Linked DNA regions of Oryza sativa Japonica Group. The protein of the gene in region 1 interacts with the protein of each later gene in a pairwise test. Links are inferred from orthologs where the notes say so. Each region holds a gene or a part of one and is shown in the gene's direction. Other genes may lie near its edges. The genes, in order: dNA replication licensing factor MCM5 and mini-chromosome maintenance complex-binding protein.

Region 1 (14,488 bases):
GGTTTAATAAAAAATCAATTACATGTGTAAATTACAAGATAATTTTTTAAACCTAATAATTGTACCATGATTTAATAATATGGTGCTATAGTAAACATTCACTAATGATGGATTAGTTAGACTTAATAAATTTATCTCGCAGTTTCCATGCGGAATCTATAATTTGGTTTGTTATTAGACAACGTTTTAGTACTTCGAATGTGTGTTCGTATATTCGATGTGACACCCCAAAATAAAAAATTTTGCCATCTAAACCAGCCCTTACGCACGTTATATAAAAATTGGCTAATATCAACCGACTCTTTTTTTTTACAAACCAAGATCTAATGTTTTCACGAAAACCATTTGGTTTTGAGGATGGCAGCCTCCCTCGCAGATGCGACCGGTGGCCTTCTTCCCCTTCTCCCCTCTCCTTCTCTAGATGCAGCGGGGTGGCCGTCGTTGTCGTTGATCTTGGCACCGAAGCCGGTGGCATGCGTCGTCTGAGCAAGCGGTGAGACAGCTTCGAGATTGCCCTCAACATCAGAGTTGCCATCTTGCTTCTCTCCTGTGCTTGGTGGCAGCGACGACTGTGGTGGAGGTGGTGTCGTCGACGGCATATTTAGACTTGGAGGAGCTCGTTGGCCTCCCTGCCTTCTCCCTCTCCATGCAGTTGAGGTGATGTTGGCAACGGCGAATTTGGACTTGCCACTCTTCATTGGAGGAGCCTCCTCGCCGCCTCCATATCCGTGTGGTGGATGTAGTGTTGGGCGACGATGGATTTGAATTTTGCCCCCTCACCGGCCTCTTTGCTTCCTCTCTCTCCGTGCACACTCACTGGGCTCTCCGTCCCCTTGGCAGGCCTCCGCACTAACTCCGGATAGCTTTGGCTCGTCGGCGAAGAGAGGAGATAGAGGTGGAGGAAGTGGGTTAGTGGGTCCCACTATTTTTTATCTTTTTTGTTTGACTGATATATGGCTCCGCATATTATGTTTTATTTTTTTTCAAGTCATATCTTTTTATTTTTTTTTCGGGATCAAATTATCATATAAGCGTCACGTCAATATCACGTGAGACAAAAACCTAGTTAAAGGAGCAACGTAGGCATCACATCAATCAAAACTACGGACAATACCGTCAAGGGATCTTATTTTCGCTGGTTTTATAAGTTATATGATATACTGTGTGTGGTTTTACGGTTCAACGACGGTTTTATAACTCCGCGACAAAAAAATGAGAGACCCCAACTATACTTTTTACTCTAAAAATCGGCAAATCGCCATGCTTTTGGGCCAAAATGGCACATTCTACTCCTTTAGCACCCTGCTATGAGAGCCCAGGCCCACAAAAACCGGCCTGCCTAGCTGCCTCTCCGGTCTCCTACCCTACCCTACCTCCCCAGTTTCCCGCCAAATCTCCCCCAGTTTCCCGCCAAATCTCCTCCTCTATTACCCTCTTCCCGCCACTTCTCCGGCGTCTTCCCCCCTTTCCCCGCCGCCCGCGCACCCACGCGTCTCTCTCCCTCTCTCTCCGCCGCCGCCGCCGCCGCAGCCAGCCAGCCATCCAGCCATGTCGGGTTGGGACGAGGGCGCCGTCTTCTACAGCGACCAGGCGCAGTTCCCGCGCGGCGGCCCCGGCGGCGACCCCTCCGCCGACCTCACCCGCCACTCCGCCCTCCGCAAGTTCAAGGAGTTCCTCCGCGGCTTCACCGGCCCAACCGGCGACTTCCCCTACCGGTGCGCCCCCCCTCCCTCCCAGATCTGGTGCCTCGTCGGATGGTCGAATTCGCTCTGACCAATCCAGTGTGTTTTTGTTTGATGGTTGCAGCGAGAGCCTGGTGCACAACCGCGACCATGTCACCGTCGCCATCGAGGACCTCGACGCCTTCGACGCCGAGCTGTCCGACAAGATCCGGAAGTCTCCCGCTGATTACCTACCGCTGGTGTGTGCTGGTTCTTTCTGAATTTTTGTTGGCTCTGGGTTCTGTTGATGTCAATTTTTTGTGTTAAGATTTAGGGTTTTGTGTAGTTTGAGACGGCTGCGTCCGAGGTCCTCGCGAGCCTTCGGTCCAAGGTCGCTGGAGAGACCGGCGAGATGGAGGAGCCCGCCACCGGCGACGTGCAGATCTTCTTGTCCTCAAAGGAGAACTGCCTGTCCATGAGGTCTATTGGGGTCAGTTCTGAAACGATTTTGTTAGTAGCCTTGTGAAGAATTTCAAATTGACACAACTGTATTCCAAATTCCAGGCGGATTACATGTCCAAGCTGGTGAAGATTGCCGGGATCACAATCGCCGCGTCGAGGGTGAAAGCTAAGGCCACTCATGTCACGCTGCTCTGCAAGAACTGCAGAAGTGTGAAAACGGTGCCGTGTAGGCCTGGCCTTGGTGGGGCTATTGTCCCACGATCGTGCGACCATGTTCCTCAGGTCTAACTCCGGCTAAACATAATTGGGTTATTGTCTTGTTTGTGTTTTAATTCTGATGTATATGAGTGAGTTTTCTTTACCATTTTTCAGCCTGGAGAAGAGCCTTGCCCCTTGGACCCCTGGATTGCAGTTCCAGATAAGAGCAAGTATGTGGATCTCCAGACCCTCAAATTGCAGGAAAATCCTGAGGTTTGTTACTGCATTATATGTCCTCGCTGCGATGCTATGGTTTTCTAGGTTTATTGGTTATATGTCCTTAGGATTTAGCAATCACCAAGCTGTATATTACTTGGTTAACAGGATGTTCCAACTGGTGAGCTCCCGAGGAATATGCTGCTGTCCGTAGACAGGCATCTTGTTCAGACCATTGTTCCTGGAACTAGATTAACTGTAATTGGTATCTACAGTGTCTACCAAGCATCTGCAAAGTATGTTGGATCTAAAACATCTGCTCAGTTTGTTTCCATTTTGTTGAGCTAGACTACTTGCATAGCTGATGACGCTCAAATATTCATTTTGCAGCCAAAAGGGTGCTGTTGGAGTCAAACAGCCTTACATTAGAGTTGTGGGGTTGGAGCAGTCCCGAGATGCCAACTCGAATGGTCCCTCAAATTTTACACTTGATGAGGTAGATTGCTTTGCCAAAATTCCAAGTTTCTTTTTTAAGAGTGTTACAGCATATTTACAATGTTAATTTTCTTGTTGGTTTGTAGGAAATGGAATTCAAAGAATTTGCACAGAGGCCAGATGCATATGTCAAGATTTGCTCAATGATTGGCCCTTCAATTTATGGCCATTCTGATGTCAAGAAAGCTATTGCATGCTTGCTGTTTGGTGGCTCAAAGAAGGTATATTTTTGATCTTATCAGTGGCTAATATGTGAAAATACAAAGTTGTGTTGGATCCAGTGGCTAGTTGGAATGAGCTGTAACTAAACTTTCTTCTATGGCAGAGGCTACCGGATGGTGTCCGTTTGAGAGGGGACATTCATGTCTTGCTGCTGGGTGATCCATCAACAGCAAAATCACAGGCAAGTGTTTTTTCGCTATTAGAAATGAATTATCTCTAGTCCAGTGACATGAAACTGTACATTCCAACAGTTCCTCAAGTTTGTGGAGAAGACAGCGCCGATTGCTGTCTATACATCTGGGAAAGGTTCATCAGCAGCTGGTCTCACAGCGTCAGTAATTCGGGACGGTAGCTCTGTAAGCTTGTCTTCCCTGCAAGGATTATTGTGTTTACTCAAAGTTCTGTTTCCTAGAACTAAAAGACTTATTTTCCCTGTACAGCGAGAGTTTTATTTGGAAGGAGGGGCCATGGTTTTGGCTGATGGTGGAGTTGTTTGTATTGATGAGTTTGACAAAATGAGGCCTGAGGACCGGTAAGCATTGATCTATAGTCTTCTTTCTAGAAACTAAAATAAGCATTGCACATGTAATTTTTCCTTACTCTTCAAAGTTGAAACCATATTGAGTTACCTTTATGCTGTGATTCCAGAGTTGCAATTCACGAAGCAATGGAACAGCAGACCATCTCGATTGCCAAAGCTGGCATTACAACAGTACTCAATTCAAGGACCTCGGTACTAGCAGCTGCCAATCCAATTGCAGGGCGCTACGATGATCTTAAGGTCAGTCAAAGTTTTTATTATTGACTTGTACTATTTTCATATTTTGAAAATGTATTAACAGTTCTAGCCTTATATGCAAGGCAATCAGTTTGACACATTTTCTATTGCTACTCCTCAGACTGCACAAGATAACATTGATCTGCAGACAACCATCCTTTCTAGATTTGATCTAATCTTTATTGTTAAAGATGTCAGAATGTATGATCAAGACAAGGTATGACGCATTATTCTTTGTCCAGCTCATTGATGTGCTTCAGAGACTAAATAAACTTCCAATTGCAGCGAATTGCAAGCCACATCATTAAGGTGCATGCCAGTGGTGCTGCTGCTTCATCCAAGAATACAGATGCTAGTGAAGGAGAGAATTGGCTAAAAAGGTGTGGTTGGCCTTCTATGTTCTGATATACATACTACACAGTTTTGATATGATGTTCTTGGATTGTAAATGCATAATCCTCACATGTGTAGGTACATTGAGTATTGCCGTGTTACTTGTAAACCACGACTCTCAGAAAAGGCAGCAGAGATGCTTCAGAACAAATATGTGGAGATTAGACAGGCACGTGCTAAAGATTTTTCACTTAGTCTAACTGTTATTAAGACTGTTCTACTTATTTATTTTTTTCATTGTGCAGAAAATGAGACAACAAGCTCATGAAACAGGGAGGGCTGCAGCTATACCCATCACTGTGCGGCAGCTTGAAGCCATTATACGTTTGAGTGAATCTCTTGCAAAGATGAGATTGTGAGAATATAGCATTACTATACATTTGACATTTCTTTTTGCGAGTAGCTCAACTAGCAGTATATTTATATCTTACATTTTTCACATATTGGCTTTTATTTCCAGTGGGTCATAACTTACATGTTTTATAATGTTCCTAATTGGCACTTTGAATAATTATCAGGACAAGTGTGGCTACACCAGAGCATGTTGAAGAGGCATTTAGGCTGTTCAATGTCTCCACTGTTGATGCCGCAAGATCTGGAATCAATGAGCATTTGAACCTATCACCAGATATTGCAAATGAGATCAAGGTTAATCTTCCCATCCAAAAGTGAACTGCCAACTTGTCAACTTTGTTTTCTGAATTTTGTTGCCCATTTTGTTCCAACAGCAAGCTGAGGCACAAATAAAGAGAAGGATGGGAATTGGAAGCCACATATCCGAGCGACGCCTGATCGATGAACTAAATAGGATGGGGATGAATGAATCCATTGTGAGGAACCTGTCATACTATTTGCTATTTAATTAATTGATTTAGTATCATTTTTCTTATGCTACCATTCGGCTGCTTCAGGTGCGAAGAGCCCTTCTGATCATGCACCAAAGGGATGAAGTGGAGTACAAGAGAGAGCGCCATGTCATTGTCCGGAAGGCTTGAGGTGAACTGTGGAGTATTTATAAATCGAGGACAACTTCTATTCAGACTGTATAAGGCTATGAGTTCACTGAAACTGTAATCTCTGGGAGAAGACAAGGACATGTTTGAGTTTCGGTTGATCACTGACATGACCATTGTAATCTGCAAGAGTAGAAGAAATGCACTCCGTCCTTGATGAAACTGTAGTTAAACTACAGTATTAAAGATGTAACTGTAGTGAAACCATGTAACCAGGGTTCTGAAATGGCTAATGTATTAAACTACAGTATTAATTCATGGATATAAATGGCTAATATTCTGCAGTGCCCAGACAAGAATTTAAAGGAGCAGAATTCAGCTGAGTAATCAGGGCATGTTTTTGCTGGGTCAAAACTGATGATGATTGACTAAACAGTAGTATACAGACTGAGTTGAGGCAAAGTTGATAGACTGCAAATCTGCAATGGGAACAATAACATTGCCAAAAAAACCGGCTTAAAGCCAAAATCTTACAAATAACTTGACTATACTCAAAAGTGCACCACCTGTTGTATCGGGAACTATTCCCTGTTAACAAAATACAAAGAAGGGAAGAAACATCTATGTCAAAACACAAGTCGAAACCCCCATCTCCAAATAACTTGCAGATGGGGAGGAGTAAAACACAGGTATGAACAACAACAACAACACATCGATGGCATGCTGTATGTTACACGGTGTAGCTCTGTTGGATTGTGTCGATGTCGAGCCCCTTGAGCTTCACCACCGACTCTACGTGCCCCTTGAGCGTGTGCAACTCCCTCAGTCTGTCCATGGAGATGAGAAATCAAGCAGTGTGCTAGCTAGAAAGTTGAACATTGGTTGGTTGCAGTACAGAGAATGTACTACATCGGTCCCGTAATATAGAAGCGTAGTACCGGACAAGACATTCTACTAGTAGTAATCTAGATAATGTCTTATCTATGTACTACCTCCGTATTTCAATGTATAATGCTGTTAATTTTTTAAACAACGTTTGTCCATTCGTCTTATTCAAATTTTCTGTGCAAATATAAAAATATTTATGTCATGCCTTAAAGATTATTTGATGATAAATCAAGTCACAATAAAATAAATGATAATTACATAAATATTTTAAATAAGACAAATGATCAAACGTTGATAAAAAAGTTAAGGGAGTCATAGGGAGTACTGTATTATTATAGGGAGCGTATCCTATGCACACAGGCCCTCGCGTGTACGCACCGTGTACACCAACTAAAAATTATCACAAAAAATTTTAGAAAAATTCATACATGTACTTTCAATAGTATTACATCTACGTGCAAAGTCGCATCTTCAAATTTATTCTACATAGAGAATAACAAAAAAGATAAAATTCTAACAAAATTGCAACCTTAAAACTGTCAGATTCTTTGTTTTTTTTGTTACGGCTAAAATATAATGAATTTGACGTTAAGATTTTAATCTTAGGTGTAATACAATTGAAAGTATGTGTATGATTTTTTCTAGATTTTTTGGTGACATTTTTTAGTTGGTGTGCACGTGTGTACACGTGAGGGCCTGTGTGCATAGGATATGTTGCCATTATTATATCATGGGATAGAGCAAGTTTTTACCTGGCGACCTCGGCTCGCTTTGCGGCCTGCTCGGCGATCTCGGAGAGCTCGCGGTAGCCGGTCTTGTCGTTGAAGAGGTCGGAGCTGGTGGACGACTGGTTGAGCCCGTGCAGCGTCCTCTGCGCCGTCGCCCACTGCGCCTCCCGCTCCCCCTTCCCGTAGTCGTTCTTGTTCACGAACGCCGTCTTGTTGTTGATGTTGTTCCACGCCCGCCCGCTCAGCGCGTACCGGATGATGAACTTGAGCACGTCCAGCGGGAAGTAGGTCACCACGCTGAACGCCCAGATCGCCCCTCCCCACCCCCACCCGATCCCCTGCATCTTGCAGAACTCCCACTCCGCGTACACCGCGATGCACGTCGCCACCAGCTGCGCCGCCAGGAACGCGATCACCAGCAGCGCCCCTGGCCTCTCCACGAACGACCAGCTCCGCGACCTCGTCACGAAGATGAGCGCCTGGCTGATTATGCTCACCTTTGTTTCTCGAACACGTAAAAAGATTGCACGTCAATATATCAGAAGAAAAGAATATATGTTACTCAACGCACTAAACCAGACCGACTTATATCAAAAGAGGAGGGAAACAAAAAAACCAAGGGAAAAAAAAAAGACTCGGATACTACGACTCCAAACAGCGGGAAGGGGGCAGAGCCCACCACTCTCCCAGGTGATTATGCTCACCTGCAGGTACAGCGCCGCCATCATCTCCTTCTCGTTCGTCTTGATCGACCTCACCCCGAACGTCTCCTGCGTTTTTTTTTCCAGTCATTTTATAATAGGAGGATACAAAGGAATCAAAGAGGCTCTGCTCTAAGAGAACGTATAAAATGTACTATGTGTTTTGTAATACTGTGAAGAAGTCGGTGTCGTGCGCGAGGTAGAAGAAGAGGGCGGTGATGAGCGCCATGTACGTGCCGAGCACGATGCCCGTGGCGAAGATCTCCTTGAGCTTCCACGAGTCCGGGGTCGGGGACGGCTTGACACGGTCCTTGGAGATTGTCATGATGGTGCCGTCGTTGAGGATGGCGATGATGAGCACCATGAATGGGGCGAAGTCGAACTTCCAGAGGAGGGCGACGAGCATGAAGCCGAGGACGATGCGGATGGTGATGGAGACGGCGTAGATGGTGTAGTTCTTCATCCGCTGGAAGATGGCGCGGGAGGTGAGCACGGCGCTGACGATGACGCTGAGCCCCGGCTCCGTGAGCACGATGTCCGACGCGCTCCGGGCGGCGTCCGTGGCGTCGTCGACGGCGATGCCGATGTCGGCCTTCTTCAGCGCCGGCGCGTCGTTCACGCCGTCGCCGGTCATGCCGCAGATGTGCTTCCGGTCCTGGAGGCGCTTCACGATCTCGTACTTGTGCTCCGGGAACACGCCGGCGAAGCCGTCGGCCTTCTCGATCAGCTCGTCGATGGGGAGGCCGCTCATCTCGCTGCTCTTGTCGCCCAGCAGCGTCGTCGACGGGTACATGTTGGTGCCCATCCCGAGCCGCCGCGCCGTCTCCTTCCCGATGGCGAGCTGGTCGCCGGTGATCATCTTCACGTTCACGCCGAGGTGCAGCGCGCGGCGGATGGTCTCCGCGCTGTCGTGCCTCGGCGGGTCGAACAGCGGCAGGAGGCCGACGAACTGCCATGGCTCGCCCTCGCTCTCCTTGCTCTTCTCCGGCACCTTCTGGTACGACACGCCCAGCGACCGGAGGCCGCGGTCCGCGTACTGGTCGATCAGCGTGTGCACCTTCTTCTCGGCGTCCTTGCTCATCTTGCACAGCTCGATGATCTGCTCCGGCGCGCCCTTGCTGATCCTGTGCCATTCGCCATTGCCGTCGATGTAGGTGATGGCCGTGCGCTTCTCGACGGGGTTGAACGGGAGGAAGTGGACCTCCTTGATGCCGGCGCGGGCCTCCTTGGGGTCGGCGAGCATGCCCACGATGCATGTGTCAATGGCGTCCTGGTTCTCGACGCGGGACGCCCTCGCCGCGTACAGGAGCACCGAGTCCTTGTCCAGCCCCCGCCCGTACACCTCGATCAGCGTCTTGTCGACGGTGAGCTTGTTGAGCGTCAGCGTCCCGGTCTTGTCGCTGCAGAGCACGTCCATGCCGGCCATCTCCTCGATGGCGGTCATCCGCTTGGTGATGGCGCCCTGCTGCGACAGCCGGTGGGAGCCGATGGCCATGGTGACGGACAGCACGGTGGGCATGGCGATGGGGATGCCGCCGATGAGCAGGACGAGCAGGTTGTCGATGCCGTCGCGGTACGCGCGGTGCTGGATCGGGTACATAACGATGATCTCGATTATCATGCCGACGCCGATGGAGATGATGCAGAAGTTGCCGATGGCCGTGAGCACGAGCTGGAAGTGGCCGATGTTGTTGGTGCTGTCCACCAGGTGCGCCGCCTTGCCGAAGAAGGTGTGCACGCCGGTGGCGATGACGACGGCCTCGATCTCGCCCTGCTTGACGGTGGACCCGGAGAAGACGCCCTGCCCGGCGTGCTTGTTGACGGGCATCGACTCGCCGGTGAGCGCCGCCTGGTCGACCTTGAGCGGGTCGCCCTCGAGCAGCCGCGCGTCGGCGGGGATGATGTCGCCGAGCTTGATGCTGATGATGTCGCCGGGAACGAGGATGGACGCGTCCTGCTCCTGCCATTTCCCGTCCCTGAGCACCTTGGTCTTGGGCGCGAGGCCGGCCATGAGCGCCGCGGCGGCGTTCCCGGCATTGTTCTCCTCGATGAAACTGATGGTGGAGTTGATGACGAGGAGGACGACGATGCCGACGAAGTCCTGCCAGTCGGGCGGCCTCCCGCCGCCGTTGGCGAGGACGATGGCCATGATGGCGGCGGCCTCCATGACCCAGGAGAGGGGATTCCACATGAAACCCAAGAACTTGAGCAGCTTGCTCTCCGTCTTCTCCTCCAGCTTGTTTGGCCCGAAGATGTTGAGCCTGTTCTGTCCCTCCGCTGCCGACAGCCCCTGCTTGCTGCATTTCAGGTGCTGGAACACCTCCTCCACCGGGATCGTCTCCTGCAAACAAACAAACAAAACAAGAAAAAAAACTAAGAACGAACGCACAAAAGAATTGCACGACTGTATATATTACGTACGAGGTCGACGGTCTCATTGCGGACGTCCTCGAGGGAGATGGAGGCCATGGGGGGGAGGGGAGGACGGGTTTATTAGTTTGGTGGTGAGTGATGAGGTGGGGTGGGGTGGGGGGGGAGGGGGAGGGCTTCGCCCTCAGCCGCAGCCGCAGCCGCGCGGACGGCGCGCGGTGGTGGTGGAGGGAAGGAGTACGAGGCTTTGCCTCGGTGGGGGTGGGGGTCAGTCCGAGCGCGCGCGCGCGGCTGGGATGGAAGGACGGAGATGGCCGTGGCACCGCCTCGCCGCCTCTTATAAGCAGCGGGGACTCGGCAACGTTGCGCGCTCCACTAGCGGCTTTGGATTTGCATGCGTGTCTCCCCGGGCGCGACGCGCGGCTGGCCTCCCGTTCGCCGCGCCTGCCGTCCGTCCGCACCCACCGGATAGGCTTGATTGCTGGCCAATGGCCATGCATTGCAGCACGTTTGGTGGTTTTCGTTGCGGCCGGACGGCACGGACAAGTTCGTCCCGAGTCGTCTACCGTGTCAGATCAACGTCTTTTGGTTTTCAAACCTTTTTTTTTTGTTGCGGCCGGACGACGGGACGACACGGAGAAATTCGTTCCGGAGTCGTCTACGTGTCAGACCAACGTCTTCGGTTTTCCAAACTCGTTCCTATCGTACGGCCTTGCACCAAGGAGACGTACCAGGATATATAGGGATGGCATTTTTTGTCGATGGATCCGCCGGATACACACACGAGTGTAGGTGCGATTTTTTTTGCTTGTGGGTACGTACGTTCGCCCGATACCCTAAGCGACTGGTGTCAATACACTTAGCATCCTACAATAAAATACTACGTCCATCCCAAAATAATTGTAATTCTATGTTATTTAGCATATATAAATATTTGAGAAGAAAGCATATGATACCTCTCATTAAATAGTGTTTATATGAGAGTGAGAAGATGGTTGATGGTAAAATAAGGAGAAATTTGAATGAGATCGATGGGACAATTAGAACTCTAGAATTATAATTATTTTGGGACGAATTTTGAATCTTAGAAATACAATTATTTTAGGACGGAGGTAATAGCCTTTTAAAGGGAAATTAATGAGTAATCACTCAATGACTTACTTCTTTCAATAATTGATGGCAATACACTTAGCATACAAGAGATTTTGTCGCGGCCATAAAATTTCCTCGTGGGCTCGGCTAGACAACCCATGCGGCTATGGCAAACGTGACCTTGGGCTCATAAAGGCAAACGTAAACTCGTCTTACGCAGCAAGATGTGTATATCAATTTGCAGTCGGCGTCTAATTCAAAGGCCAGTGGAATGAAACATCAGTCGGAACAATCTCAACAGAGAGAACGAAATGATTCGGCACCGAAATGTAGAAGTGTGCTCACAGCTCAGGCAAGATTATTAGTATGTAACTTGGCATAAAACCTAATGGACAGATCATTGATGTCAAACTGAGCTGTAAGACAAATGGACAGAAGTCCCAAACTTGGCCCTTAGTAGACGAATCAATAATGACATCATTTACACCAGTTCGTACGTCATATAATTCACAGTAATGAACTAGCATGTAGTCTCATACAAACATAGCCAAACCATATGATCGAGTTCAGCATAAAAGGTTAGGCATTGAATCATACAGTCAACCCAAACCTAAAACACACCTTGCACTGCTGTGACAAACAAGACCCCATCCTTAAGCTAGTACACTCTTCTGAGCTACGAACCTAGACAGACCATCCAACCAAAAAAAAGCATCATCGCCATGTATTATATCCATGTATTCTCAAGTAGAATAGAACACCAATGAAACAAGCATAAACAATCCTTTAGTGCGTGTCTCGGTCAAATAACCATAGTTCACAACAGAACACAAGCATTACAGCATGGAAATATAAAGCCTAAACATAACCAAAGTCTTCTATGATTGATAGAGAATCCATGTTGGTATTAACAAGCACATGAATTGACTACATTCAGTTTAACATGGATAGAAGTAGAACACAGCAAAAAAAAAAAAGGTAACACTACTGTTGTACGACCAAAAATGTACACTCCTGCAGATTATGGCCGTGGAGTGTTTGCTCCACACATCTAAAAATATGCTTTCTCAAAAAAAACTTACTGCATTGTGTAACCCTCATGTTCTACACTATTTGTTCATTTTGTTTCTAAAAATATTAAATTCATCCCTATGATCAAGTAGATAATCAGCTGAATAATCTGTTTCAAACAGTCCCAAATGAGGCCACTGTTCAATAAAGAGATCAAGTAACTATCTGAGAGTGATGGTTGCCAATTCGTAGACAATCACAATTTGCAACATTATAACAGTCAGAAAATAAGTTGCATTAGTTTCAATTGCATAGCATTGCACCAATGGTAGAGGCACAATATTAGCTTTGTTTCCTAGAAGGACCATTGCAAAACCACGTAATCCACATAAACCCCATACATACAATTGGTACAAGCACAATATTAGCTTTGTTTCCTAGAAGGACCATTGCAAAACCACGTAATCCACGTAAACTCCATACATACAAAAGAATTACTATCAACAGCTTGACCTGCCTAAGGATCCCACTCCATCCCAAAATATTGCAACCTATAACTGGATTAGACACATCCTAGTCCAACAAATCTAGACAAACCCCGCATCTAATCCAATCCTAGGTTGCTATATTTTGTGGCGGAATGCTTTTGGTAGGATGGAATAACAATGGAGCAATCATACTCTAACAACGGCCCAATAGAATAACAATGGAGCAATCATACTTCCAACGATATTGAGAACAAATCACCCCTCCAGCTATGCAATAACAAATTTAAAAATGAAACAGAATAAGCCTGTGAAATAACTTCAAAAGACATATATTGGAATGGTTCCTTTACTCAGCACAGCATAGCATGGTATCCTCAGTAAACCAGAGTACAACTACACTTAACATTTCAGAAAACCTTAATAAAAAGCATCCTGGAATCACATCCTAAGCTTGCATAAACACTGAAACATCCATAAAACAAAATGATGCAGATAACTCAGTAACCCTAGCCTCCGCAGGCAGCAACCGGTGCTACCTCCTGCTCAGAACCCAAGCTTGGTGCGGCGCCAGTGCCTGCGCTTCGCGTTGTACCTGAACAACACAAACCAAACCACGACATCTCAGCGGATATGCCTAAGCCGAATCGAACTCGGGAGGAGCAAAGACTGAGCGCGAAGAATAAATCACCTGATGGTGTTGTCGGTCCGCATGCGGATCCAGTAGGGGATGGGGCGGTTCTGGCGCATCTTCTTCGCCAGCTTCTTCTTGATGCGGAAGGTCTTGTGGGACGGCTGCGGCGAAACGAAACAAGCAAGCAATCACATCAACGAAACGTCGGTCGGTCGGCCGGAATGGATTCGACGAGAGAAGAGCGCGAGATCGAGGAGCGTACCATCGTCGCGGCGGGGACGAAGAAGCGGCGGCGGCGGCGGCGAAACCCTAGGTGCGTGAAGTGTGGAAGAAGTGTGTGGCTGGGGATTATATAGTGGGCACCAGTGCGGTTCAGAATGGGCTAACTGGGATGGGCCTTTTTTTCCGCAATTTCTTAATTGGGCTACTTTCCGATGGTTAATTTATGGCTTGTTGGGCTCGTCAACATTGGTAAACTGGGCTTTAAGAGGGTGATACAATAGAAATTTAGGCCCAGATCAAGATTATATTTCGTGGCCCATTTGATTATTACTGAAAGGTCACCTTGTCGTAGTAGGATTCGTAATGAATTTACGCAAAGCAGCTCAATAATTTCCACTCAAAATTAGGAAAATTCTACATTCAGGCAGAATCTTTATATCGTCTTTTTTTTAGAACAGAATCTTTATGTTTTCTGTTGTCAAATCCATCGCTTCCAAGTTCTAAACAAGCTTGAAAAATTATCTTGACACAAGACTAAAAATCTCGAACATTTTCCAACATCTGCAATTAAGAGACTCATGGGTTGGTCTAATAAGCCAAAACAAAAGCAAAAATTAAAATTTTCAAAATTGATTTCGAGTTGATGTTTAGATATTTTCCACGTAATTTTGTTTTAGCGTTGGCTTTTAAATCGTTATGAATAAATATATAAAAATTTTACTTACTTGACGTAAAAAAATTTAGTTACCAATTAATTTTTATTCCCCAATAAGCAACCGATGGGCAGGGTTTTTAAAATTCCAGATGGAGATTTCGGTCATTTCGGACCTCCAATACGATATTATTCCGGCCATCATTTTTTTGAATTTGGTAATATTTTGTTAAAAATTGACCAACATTTGTTCAAAATTTTCCAAGATTTCGGTATATTGGTGACCTATGATAGAATCGGCCAAACCGAATAATTAAACCATGCCTA
Region 2 (16,037 bases), on another chromosome or scaffold:
GACTGAAGGTACAGGGTTAAACTTTTGGGTTTAGCCGATTTGATCGGACATCACTAAAATACCAAAATTTCGGTCTGAAATTTTCAAAATTTTGAACAAAATTTATTTAAATTTGAATAAATATTATCAAAATTTATGAATTTTTTTAAAAAAAAAATTGACCAAAATAATATCTTATCGAAGGGATCCAAAATGTCCGAAATTTCCAACCCTGTGAAGGCGTGGAGATGGCGCAACCATGGCTGTTGTGGTTGCAGCGGTTCTGGCTGTGAGAGGCACTGAAGCAGCATATTATTATACTCCCTCCGTCCTATAATATAGCAACCTAGGACCGGATGGGATATTTCATAGATGTCCGGATTCGTTGTACTGTGTCCCATCCGGTTCTATGTTACTATATTATGGGACGGAGGGAGTACAAGATAACCTCCTGTCCATCCATTTCCTCCCCCATGCAGATCAAGTTTTTTTTTTTTTGAATGGATGCAGATCAAGTATTGATATTTGATTGCTCTATTCTGTGTCGATTGTTGTAGGTGTATGCGAAACCTGAATTTTGTACGTAGCTGTGTATTGCATGACTGATGAGATGAATAAAAATAATTTACTCCCTCCGTCTCTAAATATTTGATGCTGTTGACTTTTTTAAATATGTTTGACCATTCATCTTATTCAAAAACTAAACTATATGTATACATAAAAGTATATTTAACAATAAATCAAATGATAGGAAAAGAATCAATAAAACGAATGATCAAACATATTTAGAAAAATCAATAGCGTCAAATATTTAGAGACGGATGGAGTAGCATATAGAGGTGCAATCGCCTTTGACTACTTGGCGCTACCGCAAGAGCTGGGCGCGTGGAGCTACAACGCGAAGAAACGATAGAAGCAGCACCATCAACGATAAATTCAACGATTACTTAAAAAATATAAAAAATAAAATTACAGCCCTATATAACTAAAATTACATATGTAAATTAAGTTGATATGATATGTAAGTGGATTGTAATTTTGATAAAAAAGATGTGTAAGTAAATATGTATTTGTTATTTTTTAAATATAAAATTACAGTCCTATATAACTAAAATTACATTTGCAAATTCAGTCGATATGACATATAAGTGTACTGTAATTTTGATAAAAATGTTGTGTAAATAAATATGTATTTGTTTTTTTGTCCGTTGGATGTAAATCTAAAGTTGGAAAAAATTTGGATGATTTTTTTTTCTAGAAATCACCCAATAAATGGATAGTCAGATCCATAAATAAACATCAAAATTATCCCTAATCATATAAGTAGCAAAGTACTGATATAGCCTTATAAATCAACGGCTTAGACTATTCTACTAATAGTAGAGAACACCGAAGCAACGACTGGCTGGCCGAGTTGATCTTCTGTTAATCCAGCTAGCAACGTACGAATCCGAGTTGGCGAGTTATCGTGTATAAGAATGTGCGAGGGTATGCGGTAGAATCCTCCGTCCATACACCGATCGATACACCCTCTTACGTATAGCAGACTAGCAGTAAACCCAATCAAACTGCTGTACTTGCTAGTTGCTACTCCACAATGACCCGTTACAAGCCATTGGTGTTGCCGTTGATGCTGATCCTCTTACACACCCAGCTCATTATTGTCCCTTCTTCATCAGCAGCTACGTACGCCAACCACACCGGAGCCCTGCCGCCGGCGGTTGTTCCATGCTTGCCGGACCAGGCATCGGCGCTGCTCCGGTTGAAACGTTCTTTCTCCATCACCAAAAACTCCAGTTCCACCTTTGGGTCATGGAAGGCCGGCACAGACTGTTGCCATTGGGAGGGCATCCACTGCAGGAATGGGGATGGGCGTGTGACGTCTCTGGACCTGGGAGGGCGTAGATTGGAGAGCGGCGGTCTTGATCCTGCGATCTTCCATCTAACCTCCCTCAACCTCGCTTGCAACAGCTTCAATGGATCCTAACTCCCGCAGACAGGGTTTGAGCGGCTCACCATGCTCACCTATCTCAACCTCTCCAGCTCCGATTTCGTGGGCCAGGTACCTACCGCTAGCATCAGTCGCCTAACAAATCTAGTATCTCTCGACCTATCTACTCGATTTGAAGTAGAAGAATTCACACAAGGTCATTCTGTGTTGTCCTTTGATTCAGTTGAATCTAGCGTGCTCAAAGAGCCAAACTTTGAAACTTTAATCGCAAATCATAAAAAATTGAGGGAGCTCTACCTCGGCGCTGTGGACTTGTCCGACAACGGGATGACATGGTGCGATGCTCTATCCTCGTCCACTCCTAACCTTCGGGTTCTTAGCTTACCAAACTGTGGGCTCTCTGGTCCTATTTGTGGATCCTTTTCTGCCATGCACTCGCTTGCTGTTATTGACCTACGGTTTAATGATTTGTCTGGTCCCATTCCAAACTTCGCCACCTTCTCCTCTTTGCGTGTTCTACAACTGGGACACAATTTTCTTCAAGGACAGGTATCTCCATTAATCTTCCAACACAAGAAATTAGTAACAGTTGATCTTTACAATAATCTAGAACTATCTGATTCGTTACCAAATTTCTCAGTTGCTAGTAATTTGGAAAATATATTTGTCACTGAGACTAGTTTCTACGGTGAAATACCAAGTTCCATTGGAAATCTCAAATATTTGAAGAACCTTGGCGTCGGTGCAAGTCAGTTTTCAGGGGAGCTGCCCTCATCAATCGGGTGGCTTAAATCATTGAATTCGTTGGAGATTTCTGGAACAACAATAGTAGGAACCATACCATCATGGATCACAAACCTTACCTCTTTAACAATCCTTCAATTCTCTAGGTGTGGTCTAACTGGATCTATCCCTTCTTTTTTAGGTAAGTTAACGAAATTGAGAAAATTAGTGTTGTATGAATGCAACTTTTCAGGAAAACTACCACAAAATATCTCAAACTTCACCAATCTGAGCACACTCTTCCTTAATTCAAACAATCTTGTCGGTACAATGAAACTTGCATCATTATGGGGACTACAACACCTCCGTTACTTGGATATATCTGATAATAATCTTGTGGTGGTGGATGGAAAAGTCGATTCTTCATCAACACACATCCCTAAACTACAAATATTAGCTTTATCGGGTTGCAACATCACTAAATTCCCTGATTTCTTGAGGAGTCAAGATGAACTCCTTTGGCTCGACCTTTCAAAAAACCAAATCCATGGGGCTATACCATCGTGGGCATGGGAGTCTTGGAATGATTCTGGCGTTGCTAGTTTGATTTTAGCACATAATAAATTTACTAGTGTTGGATCTAACCCTTTTATTCCTTTACAAATTGATTGGCTTGATCTTAGCAACAACATGTTTGAGGGGACTATACCTATACCTCAAGGTTCTGCAAGATTGCTAGATTACTCAAACAACATGTTCTCATCGATTCCTTTTAATTTCACTGCCCATCTTAGTCATGTCACACTTTTCAATGCCCCTGGAAACAACTTCTCCGGAGAAATCCCACCATCTTTCTGTACTGCAACTGAATTACAATACCTTGATCTCTCTAACAACAACTTTAGTGGCTCAATACCATCTTGTTTGATCGAGAACGTTAATGGAATACAAATATTAAATCTAAATGCAAATCAACTCGATGGGGAGATCCCAGATACTATAAAGGAAGGCTGCTCATTTCATGCACTATATTTTAGTGGCAATAGGATTGAAGGACAGCTACCCAGATCCCTACTTGCTTGTCAAAATTTGGAGATCCTTGATGCTGGGAACAATCAAATAAATGACATTTTCCCATGCTGGATGAGTAAACTTCGTAGACTCCAAGTGCTTGTACTGAAATCCAATAAGCTATTTGGACATGTCGTTCAATCTCTCACCGATGAAGAAAGCACATGTGCATTTCCAAATGCAATAATTATTGACATATCCTCAAATAACTTCTCTGGTCCGTTGCCCAAAGACAAGTGGTTTAAGAAGTTGGAGTCGATGCTACATATAGACACAAATACATCATTGGTCATGGATCATGCTGTGCCAAGTGTAGGACTAGTATATAGATATAAAGCCTCACTCACATACAAAGGTCATGACACCACACTTGCTCAAATACTAAGAACCCTTGTATTCATTGATTTCTCCAATAATGCATTCAATGGTAGCATCCCAGAAATTGTTGGGGAACTTGTTTTAACTCATGGGATAAATATGTCACATAACTTCCTCACTGGGCCAATTCCATCTCAACTTGGTGGGCTGAAGCAGCTGGAAGCTTTGGATCTATCTTCAAATCAGCTTTCAGGAGTCATTCCACAAGAATTAGCATCCTTAGACTTCCTCGAAATGCTAAACCTATCCTACAACAAGCTTAAGGGAAAAATACCTGAATCACTTCATTTCTTGACATTCACCAACAGCTCATTTCTGGGGAATAATGATTTGTGTGGTCCTCCGCTATCTAAAGGTTGCATCAACATGACAATTCTGAATGTGATCCCTTCCAAGAAGAAATCCGTAGATATTGTGTTGTTCCTCTTTTCTGGATTGGGATTCGGCCTTGGGTTGGCCATTGCTGTTGTAGTATCATGGGGAATACCCATTAGAAAACAGGCTACAGTAAGACAGAGAGCCCTCTGTATCATGTATTGAAATAAACTTTTTTCTGTATCAAGGTCACTTGCAGTGCATTATTGTAATCAGGGCCATGTCAGTGTTGTCGCAAGATAATATTTGAATCACTGTAAGTATGGGTGATAATGGTGTTATATTTATTTACTTTAGAGTTACACAAGCCAGTAGGATGCACACATCATATACTGATATACAGAGTTTACATTACATACTAGTGATGTTCTGAATCAACGAGTTGGCATGTGTGATTTATAGGTAACACTTGCTTACTAGTGAAAACAATAGAATTTTGCTTTGGCAGTGAGGTTCGGAGCACACCTGAGATGTTGTTGAGTTATTCCATCGATTGCTTCTGTTATTTCTTCAGTAAGAAAATCTGAGCCTACAAAAATTCACCCATAACAGTATTGTTAGGTATGTTCAGTAGGAAAACTAGCAGCAATTAACACCTACTAGTCGCCAACTCAGTAGGATGACTTGAGAAAAAAAAGGCATCTGGAGGCATGTATTAGCAATTTCTTTATGCGAAATGTATTAGCAATTTGAGATGAACAATCTTAGCATCCGAAGTAAATAGAAAGCAAGTTGCTCCTCCATAGCCTACTTTACCCCAGAGACACGCAACGGAGAGGATTCGGAGGGGTTCAGACTCTGGAGGGCGTAGATCCGGCAACGCTGCGTTATGGGAGGAGGAGAGGTTGGTTTATGGAGTGTACAGACCTCGGAGGTGGGCGACGCCATGGGAGGGAGAGAAGGTCCATGACGAGGAAGACGACCTTGCCGTTGACAGGTCAGAGATCTCACCTGCTCCTGTTGAGAAGAGCAATGGCGCGGGTTCCTGGCCTTCTATCACATACACAACGCCAACCGGGAGAGCGACTCCGGCCGCCGCTCGCCGGAGCGCCGCGCCGCCGCCGCTCTTGGACGGCTCAACCATCGGCCCGCGCTCTCTAGCAATATTATGAAATTAATTGAAGGGCCTATGTGTAAAATATACTTCACTCAGTCACGTTCCACAACTTGATCTGAACCACACGATTAGATCTAACGGTCAACGCGTGCGCGAGATTTGGAGGAAAAAGTCCACTTTGACTCCCTTAAATGTACAACGAATCTGATTCGTACCCCTCAACCAAAAAACCGGTTAGAACGACTCCCCCAATTACTAAAACCGGTACAAATTGACTCTCTCGGTTGTTTTGGAGGGCGGTTTTGCTGACATGGCGCTGACGTGGCAGTGTTGACTTGGTCTTCGTCCCATGTGGCGCTGATGTAAGATTAGATTTAAAAATATATATATGTAGGACCCATTTATTATTCACACACAAAAATTATAATAGGATCCACTGACATGTGGGGTCCCGATATCATTCTCTTTCCAACCTTTCTTCCTCCCCCTCTATCTCCCTTATCTCTCTCTTTCTCTTCCTGTCGGCGAGCCTTTCCAACCTTTCTTCCTCCCCCTCTCTCTCCCTTATCTCTCTCTTTCTCTTCCCGTCGGCGAGCAGCGCGGAGAGCTTGCCGAGGCAACGGATGGCGGAGCGGAGGGCGGCAAGGGAGTGCGTGAAGCCGTGGGCGGCGGTGGGTGGAGAAGGCCGGCGCGAAGGCAGGGCAGAGCGGCGCTGCGGCGGCATCGAGAGCTGCCAGTCACCGCGGTCGCTGTTGTCGCGTATCCTGCAGCGAGGCGACGGCGGCGGTGGGAAGTTCGGATGCCGGGTGCGGCTGCCGCGGCGGTACAGCTCCACCTCCGCCGCCGGCGCTGGAGTTGCCGGAGAGAAGGAGATGATGTCGAACGCGTTCAGGCTCGACCGCCGCCGCGAGCTCCCGCCCCGCCCGAATCTCCCTTCCAGCAACGACGGCGTCGCCATCGTCCCGGTGCACTCCACCGCGGACATCGCCGTCGCCGACACCCTCTGGAAGGCCACTACCGCGGTCGGGGCTCCCCTCGCGTGAGTTGCTCAGGCTCGTCACCAGCGACGACGACGCTGACATGGACATGTGCTGCCGCTGCTGCGCCGCCATGGCAGCATGGCGCCATCCACTCACCGGAGTAGTAATTAGCTAGCTAGCTAGCTAGGCAACATGACGACGACACTAGCTTAATTAGCTTGTATTTAGTTGGTTAATTTAGTGTTGTTGGTTGCTTGGCGACGTCATTAGCTAAGCTAGTGATGTAGTAGTAGCAGCTAGTGGGAGTATTAGTTATCACACAAGGCGAGGAAACCGACGCCCAGAAGAGGGGGGGGGGCGCAGGGGCCGCGGCCATGCCGCCCAGATCCGTCGCCAATCCACCCGGCCGCTGCCGCCACTGATGCGTCCGAATGGGGAAGAGAAAAGGGGGAGAGAAAAGAGAGGAGGGAGGGAGGAGGAAGAAGAAGGGAAGGAGAAAGGATGTCGGTGGGCCCCACATGTCAGTGGGTCCCACATGTCGGTGGGTCCCACGATATATTTTATATGTGAATGATAGATGGGTCCCACAGATATTTTTTAATTCTAATGCCACGTAGGCGCCACGCGGAATGAAGACCGGATTAGTATCGCCACGTCAGCGCCACGTGGAATGAAGACCGGGTTGGTATCGCCACATCAGCGCCACGTCAGCAAAACCGTCCTACAAAACCACCGAGGGAGTCAATTTGTACCGGTTTTAGTAATTGGGGGAGTCGTTCTAACCGGTTTTCTGGTTGAGGGGTACAAATTAGATTCGTTTTACATTTAAGGGAGTCAAAGTGGACTTTTTCCAGATTTGGATCGCTAACCAATAAGCAGGCCTCATATGGGCCGGAGGCATCTCGGCCCGGCAGCAGCGCGCACCCGCAGACGGGCCGCACTCCCGTGCCGAATGCTAGGACGGCCCATTAGGCCCAATAGACGCACCAAGGTCCAAGTACCAGGAGAGGCGCGCATTGGCGGGAAGAGGGGGAGAAAACGGCGGGAAGCGCCGCCGCCAGTGGCGCGAAAACCCCACCCGCTATAACTCCTCTCCCTCCTCACCTCACCACTTCTCCCGCCATTGCTCCGCTCCCCAATCTCCCCAACGAGAGAGAGAGAGAGCGAGGAGAGGGAGAGGGAGGATGGTGGGGCCGCAGTACGACCTCGTCGGGAACCCCCTGGGGGCGGTGCGCTCCACCTTCGAGAGGGCGGCGGCGGAGTCCGGTGGGCACGAGCCGGTGGCGGCGTTCCGGGGGAAAGACTGGGGCGCCACCGAGGTGTTCCGCTCCTTTCTCTTCGAGCAAGGCGGGCTTGACAAGGTAAGAAGTCTGATCCCCCCCCGTGTTGATGGTTGCCGCAGCTGTCGATTTCTGAAAATGATGTTATTTGGTAGATCGCTGAAACCCTAATATCGTCAAAGTTAGTGATCTTTGAATGTCTATAATGAATATGAGACGGGGAGATTAAAGGTTTTCTTAGGGTAAATTTGGAATCATCAGTAGATGTGGTTAGGAAGTACTATGCTCTCAGATCTAAGTTGGGTGAAAGATAACTGCTTTTTGCTGTTCTTGCAAACATTTCAATTCAGATACTTAGAATGTCACATATGTTTATGTTGAGCTTGTCCCAAAAAAAAGAGAGAAAGAGGATATTTTGTATTGTGGGTGTAAATGAATCTTAGGAAGTTCAGGGAATGACGGAATGTGGGAATATTTTCCTTTCCAGGTTCCGGTGTTGGATGAATCAAATCTTGGATTGATCAAGCCGAATACCCTTGTTCGGTTCCGGGGGATGGTTCAGGACATGCTCGGGAACGAGTTCTATGTTGGTGCTTTCAAGGTATTGGAATTTAGTACATAAGTTAATGTAAAGCTGCATTTTAGTGCTTGTTATGCTTATTTTGAACCATTATTTGTGTAGGATGGCTCCACTTGGAGGACAAACAAATTCTCCGATTCCTCGCCGTTCTCAATGCCACACCCTTGTGATTCACATCTCTGGGAGCGCCATCTTTTCCACTGTGTGCCTGTATGTTGCCGCTTCCAAGAGCACCTGCTGCTCATTTGCTATTAATCCTAGTCTTACTCATTGCTGATAAGCAGCTTATGTTGGAATTCAACCTGGACAATGCCATTGGTTTATTTCAGGTGCCTGGACAAAATTCTTGGACACGCGAGTCGTCCCCTGGCCCTGACTTGCGCAGAATAGCAAGCTGCTTCACATCTGAACAAAGGGAGAAAAGGAAGAGGGGTGCAGATAATGACGCCATGGATGTAAGCTTTTGCTAAGTTTGTTGCAATGGTTTCTTTTGACACTTTGCTGCCTAACAAGTAGTATTGTCGTCTAATGAGTTGACTGATGCAGGTTTCAGAAAGTGGTAGTGGAGAGACTTCTTCATCCAGCAAGAAGACGGTAAGAAGGAAGATTGATTTTTCTTTCCTAGTAGTCTCCTAACATTTACACAGTCTCGCAACTGCCTTGCTTGGTTGTAGATTAATTCTGCATGCTAATAAAGTAGGATAACTTAAATGTCTTAGTAGATTTATGGCATATATGCTTCTCCAAATTGCTTGGTTTCATGCTAAATCTAATCCATACAGTTAGCTGACTGGGAATCTGATTTAAACTGCCTTACTTTTCCTCAGAAGGATGATGGTGTCAAGATCTCAAATAGTTCAGTAGAAATGTCAATGAATGAAGAACATCATGTCCCAGAGATGAATGGGGGAGATCATCATATTCCTGGAAGCTCCTTTTCCTGCCTAGTGAAGGTAGAGCTCCTAAGCTTTCTGCATGAAATGCATTCTATTCAATCTTTTTTTTCTATGGTTTACGGATTGAACTATTCTTTGCAGGTGTATGATATGCCTGAAAGTCAGGTGAAACTGAACGATGTTTCTGAGTTCATAGGTGTATATACATTTGACCCTGAACTTGCTGCTCCTAACGATAATTCGGATGATATAATGTTTGACCTTATGGAAGATGTAACCGCTCAGCTGCCTCCCAGTAAGGTACATGCATCAAAAGTACATACTACATAGTGATCAATTTCATATCTAACAATGAAAAGAAAGTGTATTCATATTTGTATTTTTTTCTGACTTCTAATGCTTGTAAATATTTGTACAGGTTCCCCGTCTTCACTGCTTGGTATGGAGAAACTTATCTGCTCATGATTTTCTACCAAGGCCTCCTGCGGTTGAGGTACATAGCACTGAATCTTGAATGCAGAAGTTGGTTTAACAGTTTTAGCGTTGATTTAAAATAACTAATCCCAATTTTTTTTATCATGCAGCCATCACCAATCCTGCTAAGGGGAATTCGGCAATCTTTGCTCTCACATCTTACTCTGGTATTAGGGAAAGATGAACTGGCAGCTCAATGTTTACTGTTGCATCTTCTATCCAGAGTACGTCATATCACTAACACAGCTGATCTATACTACATCAAGTTGTTTTCTTTGCATTGTAACTGCTAAAAACAGTTCATATTAGTTTACTAAGTTATTGGTTCTCAATCTCCATGCAGCTTCGTAATAAGGTGGATGTGGTTACCGTTGGTAGGCTCTCCTTGAATTTCACTGGCTTTAACAGAGAGAGTGTTTCTATATTTGGAAACCAGCTAAATAATTTGTTCCAGAGGCTACTACCATATTCACAAGTTATTCCTCTGTCAATTGAGTATCTCAACACAGCCACACTTCAGCCTAGAAAGGACAACCAATCAGGAAGGTACATATTGTTTGTTTGTCTTATGAAGAATTTGTTACTCCTGATGTTTTCATCATTCAACAATCACTTTTAACATAACCCCACCTAAATTTTGCTGCAGATTGGTTACAGGAGTTTTACAGTTACCTCAGGGTACTCACCTGACCTTTGATGAGACTCTCTTGCAGTCTGGATCATTGACATCCAAAGGTGTCGAGAATACTATGCTGCTTAAGAACTTGATGGAGTCACAGAAGGTAATAAGCCTCATGACTTCATGAGGCTACAAATTATCTTTGCCGACCAATTTATCTATAACATCTTTAAACATTTTTGCAGGTTGAGTATGATTTTGAGTTCTACAAGTTGGAAATGGCAACTGATGTGCAGCTACTAATTCTCTCCGAGGGAAAATCAAATATCCTACCTTCTGACTTGATAGTACCTTTCCGCCCATCATCTGTTCCTGCGGTAAATGCAAGCTCCGAGGAACTTGAAAGTTGGAGATGGTATTTGGCCACAGTTAGGTCTCTTCCTCAGTCAACTGAAACTGATACATACCAGGTGATTATCCCTTGCTCAACTCTATCAAGAAATAAACTGATATGTTTGTCAGGAACATGAACAGACTTAATTAAATTGCATAATGTTTGCGCCTTAATTGTAGATGATTCAAGATGAAATGGTCAATGCCATGCGTGATGATAGGAGCTTGGGTTGTTCTGAACTTAGCAGGTGTGTGCCGCTGATGCCTGTCAGTGTGGGCAATCTGGCATCCTACACCATCTCCAGTTACTTTTACATGAGGATTATGAAATGAAACCTTTTGCTAAACTAATTCTGCTTATGTGGATCTGCAGATGGCTAACGATGGCACAGATAATGGCTGCAAGCTTTGGTGAGAAGAGTCTCTCCATGGAGCACTGGCAGATGGTGAAGGAGCTGGAGAGGCTCAGGAAGGAGAGGCTACAATGAGATGAGATCACAGTAAAATGTGCTTGTAAAATCCACTTGTGGCCGTGGCCCAATGTTATGTGTATACCACTAGGGTCTAAAATCTAAATCAAGATGTGGATCTGCAACATCTTCTGTGATCCTATGGAAGTATCAATGCCATTTGATAAGTTATCTGACCTGAAAAGCATCTCTTGCAATACCTGTGAAAAAAAAAATTGAACTTGCACCTACAGGCTTGCCATCCGATTTGCCATTGGTTTCAGCAAATTCTACAGCCTGAAGTGCTGTTCTAGTATTGGATGGACACCCAAATATTTTTATCAACCAAGTGAACCTTCCATGCCATGTTTCAATTATCTTTGAGCCAAAATTTTAACATACAATTTTCCGTGTATCACTTGCAATATTTACTCTTTTTTTCATATATTTGACCTACCATTGGACCAGCCAGAGCAACAGAGAAACACTGAATAATAATAGTATGAATGTTTGTCAAATGATAATGATACAATGCGATAATTGCACATGTAACTTCCAAATTCAATGACATCAGACAGTTTGTAACTTTGTATGCTCGATCATCGATGAACGGTGGTACAGCTGCTCCATGCTTCAAACTTGAGAGCAGTGTAGGTTCAAAATATACAACACAAATCTCTACATACAACATTTTTTTTTGCCTCACTCAATACTGTTTCAGCAATAGAGTAAAGAATTCCCACAGGCATCTGATCTTCAATTCATTACCGGTTCAATCTCTTGGGAAATAAGTAGCAATTTCTTGATTTGCATTGTTTTCACGATGCGGCAGACAGAAGCATGGTTTCTGCAGATGCTTGTGTCCCCGTTTTGCATGCATGAATTGTAGAGCAGACGTCTGTCGTCTCAAGAAACTTCTGAGATTTCACCAGAATCAAAGGGGTATATTCAAGGACCATCTTCTTGCACTGCAAAAATTACAAATAGGACTGCCATGAGAAGAACAGAACTAGAAATGGGCCTTGCAAATGGTTAAAATGGCAGTATTTCATCAGGAAAACCATTCAGCTGATACAAAGTTGCAGGTAACTAAGCTAATTACAGATAAATTTCTAGGTGCTGGGCTTGATCAGCGACATCTTAATGTCTCAAATCGGTATATGCAAGCACATTCGAGAAAAGCATTATAGCATTTGAAATGCTTTGCTTACAGGATGTTAAGTGATTTTCTGTATAAACAACCATGAAAAATGTGTTTGATTCTTTAGTAGAGGCTGATTTATTTTGTATTTCCATAAATGTGACTAATTTACCTGCTGTACATAATTATCTGCCTTGCTGCATGCTTTGAGAAATATCTCGACTATCTCCAGCTGCAAAATTACGAATTCGATTAAGTATGACCCCAGCAATACAGAATTGGTTGTGACCATTGAAAATCTGAAATGATGGCAGTTACCTGCATGTCAGGATCCTTTAGCATGATAAGAACTTCAACAAGAACATGATGGCATATGCCGCATGTATCTCCTCGAGATGGTAGGCGAAGCATCGTTCCCTTTCTGCAGAGATGCACTGATTCACAGAACTTTTCAGGTGTTACCATCGAAACCTCCAAGAAGAAAAGGGGAATGTAGTAGTCAACCAGAGTGATGCACTGTAACAGGGTAAACCATTGGCATACAAAAATTAGTCTGACGAAATTAGCATGTTCTGATTCCAAGGCGGGCATTGAAATTTATTCAGACCTGCTGTTTTAGAGGTCCAACGTTTGCGCATGCATGGTGGAGGATGCTAAGAATCTCAGTTTGGGTTTCATTTTGTTGGAGGTAGAACAGTGCTTCCGTTGAGTACTGCTCGCATAGTTGACACAGCTTTCCATTGGCTGAAGTTAACCCTGTCTTCTTGTTTTCAAGGGGAAAGCTTTTATGAGCTGAAATACATGACAAATTGACCGTAGAGTCAAAAACTAATAAGTTGAATTGTAGAACGAAATCATTCTTATGCTGAAGATATAACCACTGTGTGATATCTGACCTACAATTTTATTACAGGTGAAGATAGAGTTTTCAAGTGAAAACAAAATTGTAGAACGGAATCATTCTTATGCTGAAGATATATTGACCACTGTGTGATATCTGAATTACAATTTTATTACAGGTGAAGATAAGAGTTTTCAAAATGAAAACAAAAATAGATAAAATAAATGTAACTCATGATGTCTGATATGCAGCAGATGTGTCAAGCAAGACTGGTCAGAAATGCAATTCTCATAACATTCGTCATCAGCAAACACACAGATACCAATTTTACTATTATGTGCTTGTGCAATCTTAGACCAACGCATATAACGTGATGTGGAATAATTAATGTAGATCAACACATAAATGTATTCCTTTATATTTTAGAACTGTAGAGAGTGTTATATTGCTTGCCATTGCGGCGCTTGATCTACTTAGAATTATCATCAGAAACACCAATTGATATGAAAATAAGAATGGAGAAAATATTAGTAACATTATTCATTCTCATAATGAATTCATGACTTACCCAATACATTAAATGAATCTCTGCTCTCCGCGACTGCAACTGAAAATGCTAATACCAGCACAAAAGCAAAGCTCCTTATGGAACACATTTTGCCTGCTTGCAGAATTGCAGATTAGAGAAACAGAAGCTGGAAAGTTAAAACTCCAAAGTATCCAACTGAAAGTTGAAGCTGTGTGCATCAGACGACCAGAATGCATCTCAGAGGTCAATCATGCAGAAGTTTTCCCCAAAATGGTTGACTAGACAGATTTACCCTCCGGTTGCTTAACTAAAATTTCTCCATATGGCCAAAAGAAAGCCTCAAATAGATCCCTTCCTCCTCTCTCACATTCCAAATCTAGTGTTAGATCTTACAGGAACGCTTCAGAATCCCAATACAGTGGATTTCAGCCCATCTCAAGACCAATTTTTGCACAAAAAAAATCAACAAACTCGGTAACGCTGGATTAGATTTCTAGATTAGATCTCACACTTCCACAAACAATGCATACACGAGTTGCGCACCAAATCAGCCAGATTCAGCTTCCCCACCGAAACAAACGCTAGAAAGATCCAAAATTTACTTCCTTTTCATCACTACAGACGCTCGAATTCGTAAAGCATAAAACTTTCTCTTCCGCTACTAACCTACCTTGGTTCGTGGGAGATGAAATCAACAGCTCATGATACTCAAATCGAACCCCCCATGGTTACGGAATCGAATCGGGCAGAGAAAATCAAGAAACAGCGAGTGGTTGCTAAGAATAAGCTAATATGGATCAAGGAATCAAGCATGGGCTCACCTTGTTGCTTCTTCGCTCTCTGTCTGCTTTGTTCTTGGAACGGGGTGGAGAAGTCAGGAGAGCAAGGGAATCTTCTTGAACTTATTGATTTTTTTAAAAAATCTTAATCATTTAAGCTTCTTTAATACTACAAGATTTGTAGGAGTAGATGATTAGATGTAGATGAATGCAAGATTAGATTAATGGCTTGTGTTGCATGAGCTATGGACAGGACAGGAGGAACAAAAAGATTCTTCTCCTCCCTTCCAAGCTAAGCTGAACAACGACAGGAGTGGATGAGAAAGTAGATTTTTTTTTTTCAAAAAGAAAGGAGATAGTTTTTTTTTGTCCCCCAAAATTTTAGACAGAATTATGTTTGCCTCTTCCTAAGTTAGTTTTTGGTTTTTATTCGATTTTGGAGTTATGATGAAGAGATAAGAAAAAGAAAAATCAGATAAAAGATTCACACAACAGGTTGTTGTAAACACTTCAGTTCCTTCCTAATAGAAGTGCAAAGTCACTGTCGTGGCTAGATTTGTGATTATTCAATTTCGACCAAAAGATGCTGGTTTGTATGATTTTGTTCCGCGGGTTTATACGTGCCAAAAAGGAGTACTCCTATTCCTTTGGTACAGCATACTTTTTTCTCAAAAAATAAATAGAAATATGTTAAAATTATTTAAGGGCAAAAAGGTCTACCCATTGATCTTTCGACATATTTGGAGCTTTAAATTTTACAGAATTTCAACCAATATATACAACCCGTTTCGAATGAAATAAAAAAAGAGACAAACATATCCAAAATTGTAAATCTAGAAAAAAATATAGTTGTAAAAATTTAATATCGGTGCACTGTAAATGTATAACTGAGTGTAACTACATGTAACTGAGTATAAGTGCTAACACTCTGTACAAGTGTTGTGTAACTGATTGTAATTGCAAGTTAGATCTATGCGTACACGAATCTTTGATGCAAGATTCTATGAATGAAAAGAAAATCTAAAAATAAGACTCTAAACATCTATCGCAAGTGAAATAGAAAAAAAAAAGAATACAAGGAGATATAGTCCAAGCAAAATAAATTGCATGGATAAATGGCACAAGAGTAGAATTACTGTGTAGTTAAAGGGAAAAAATATTAACAAAAGGATAAATGACACGAAGACTGGAATTCATGTCTAGTTAAAGGAAAAAAAAGATAATAAAGTGGGATAAATATGGCACAACAGCACAAGACCCTACTACGGGAAGGGGAAAAAAATGCGTCGACAGCAGGGTTCGAACCTGCGCGGGCGAAGCCCAACAGATTTCAAGTCTGTCTCCTTAACCACTCGGACATATCGACTCTTTGCATGAATGGCACAATTGAGCTATTTAATACTATAAATGTAAGCCTTGATGGGCCGAAAGGAATGTCAGGGCACGCAAGCAAGCGGGCCTGTAAAAAGGCCAAGACCTGACAGGCTGACACGGGCTCGGCCCATCAAGTTTGGTAGTATCCAATTACTGCGCCTCACCGAT

The links.
Region 2: the proteins of dNA replication licensing factor MCM5 (region 1) and mini-chromosome maintenance complex-binding protein interact in binary tests that used the Arabidopsis thaliana proteins (3 or more experiments, as listed by UniProt). The link is inferred for Oryza sativa Japonica Group from reciprocal best matches to the Arabidopsis thaliana genes MCM5 and ETG1.

The regions. Positions count from the first base shown.
Region 1 is NC_089036.1:34,423,582-34,438,069, reverse strand, and holds dNA replication licensing factor MCM5, read left to right. Parts: upstream 1-1,422; 5' UTR 1,423-1,548; coding exon 1,549-1,715; intron 1,716-1,806; coding exon 1,807-1,921; intron 1,922-2,007; coding exon 2,008-2,151; intron 2,152-2,225; coding exon 2,226-2,405; intron 2,406-2,495; coding exon 2,496-2,594; intron 2,595-2,705; coding exon 2,706-2,833; intron 2,834-2,927; coding exon 2,928-3,033; intron 3,034-3,118; coding exon 3,119-3,253; intron 3,254-3,357; coding exon 3,358-3,435; intron 3,436-3,505; coding exon 3,506-3,610; intron 3,611-3,694; coding exon 3,695-3,786; intron 3,787-3,902; coding exon 3,903-4,035; intron 4,036-4,153; coding exon 4,154-4,249; intron 4,250-4,317; coding exon 4,318-4,412; intron 4,413-4,503; coding exon 4,504-4,594; intron 4,595-4,670; coding exon 4,671-4,780; intron 4,781-4,943; coding exon 4,944-5,073; intron 5,074-5,153; coding exon 5,154-5,255; intron 5,256-5,336; coding exon 5,337-5,420; 3' UTR 5,421-5,773; and 1 more. Other genes in the region: ATPase 8, plasma membrane-type, read right to left, coding at 6,109-6,205, 7,019-7,491, 7,699-7,764, 7,868-10,036, 10,117-10,164; large ribosomal subunit protein eL39y, read right to left, coding at 13,200-13,248, 13,345-13,448, 13,550-13,552. UniProt on the Arabidopsis thaliana protein: Probable component of the MCM2-7 complex (MCM complex) that may function as a DNA helicase and which is essential to undergo a single round of replication initiation and elongation per cell cycle in eukaryotic cells.
Region 2 is NC_089035.1:3,429,937-3,445,973, reverse strand, and holds mini-chromosome maintenance complex-binding protein, read left to right. Parts: upstream 1-7,633; 5' UTR 7,634-7,698; coding exon 7,699-7,875; intron 7,876-8,281; coding exon 8,282-8,395; intron 8,396-8,476; coding exon 8,477-8,584; intron 8,585-8,703; coding exon 8,704-8,829; intron 8,830-8,920; coding exon 8,921-8,968; intron 8,969-9,201; coding exon 9,202-9,327; intron 9,328-9,411; coding exon 9,412-9,570; intron 9,571-9,688; coding exon 9,689-9,763; intron 9,764-9,854; coding exon 9,855-9,968; intron 9,969-10,087; coding exon 10,088-10,290; intron 10,291-10,390; coding exon 10,391-10,526; intron 10,527-10,608; coding exon 10,609-10,833; intron 10,834-10,936; coding exon 10,937-11,004; intron 11,005-11,129; coding exon 11,130-11,244; 3' UTR 11,245-11,410; downstream 11,411-16,037. Other genes in the region: uncharacterized protein, read right to left, coding at 12,024-12,173, 12,519-12,578, 12,665-12,862, 12,954-13,138, 13,756-13,843. UniProt on the Arabidopsis thaliana protein: Associated component of the MCM complex that acts as a regulator of DNA replication. Binds to the MCM complex during late S phase and may act by promoting the disassembly of the MCM complex from chromatin. Required for sister chromatid cohesion.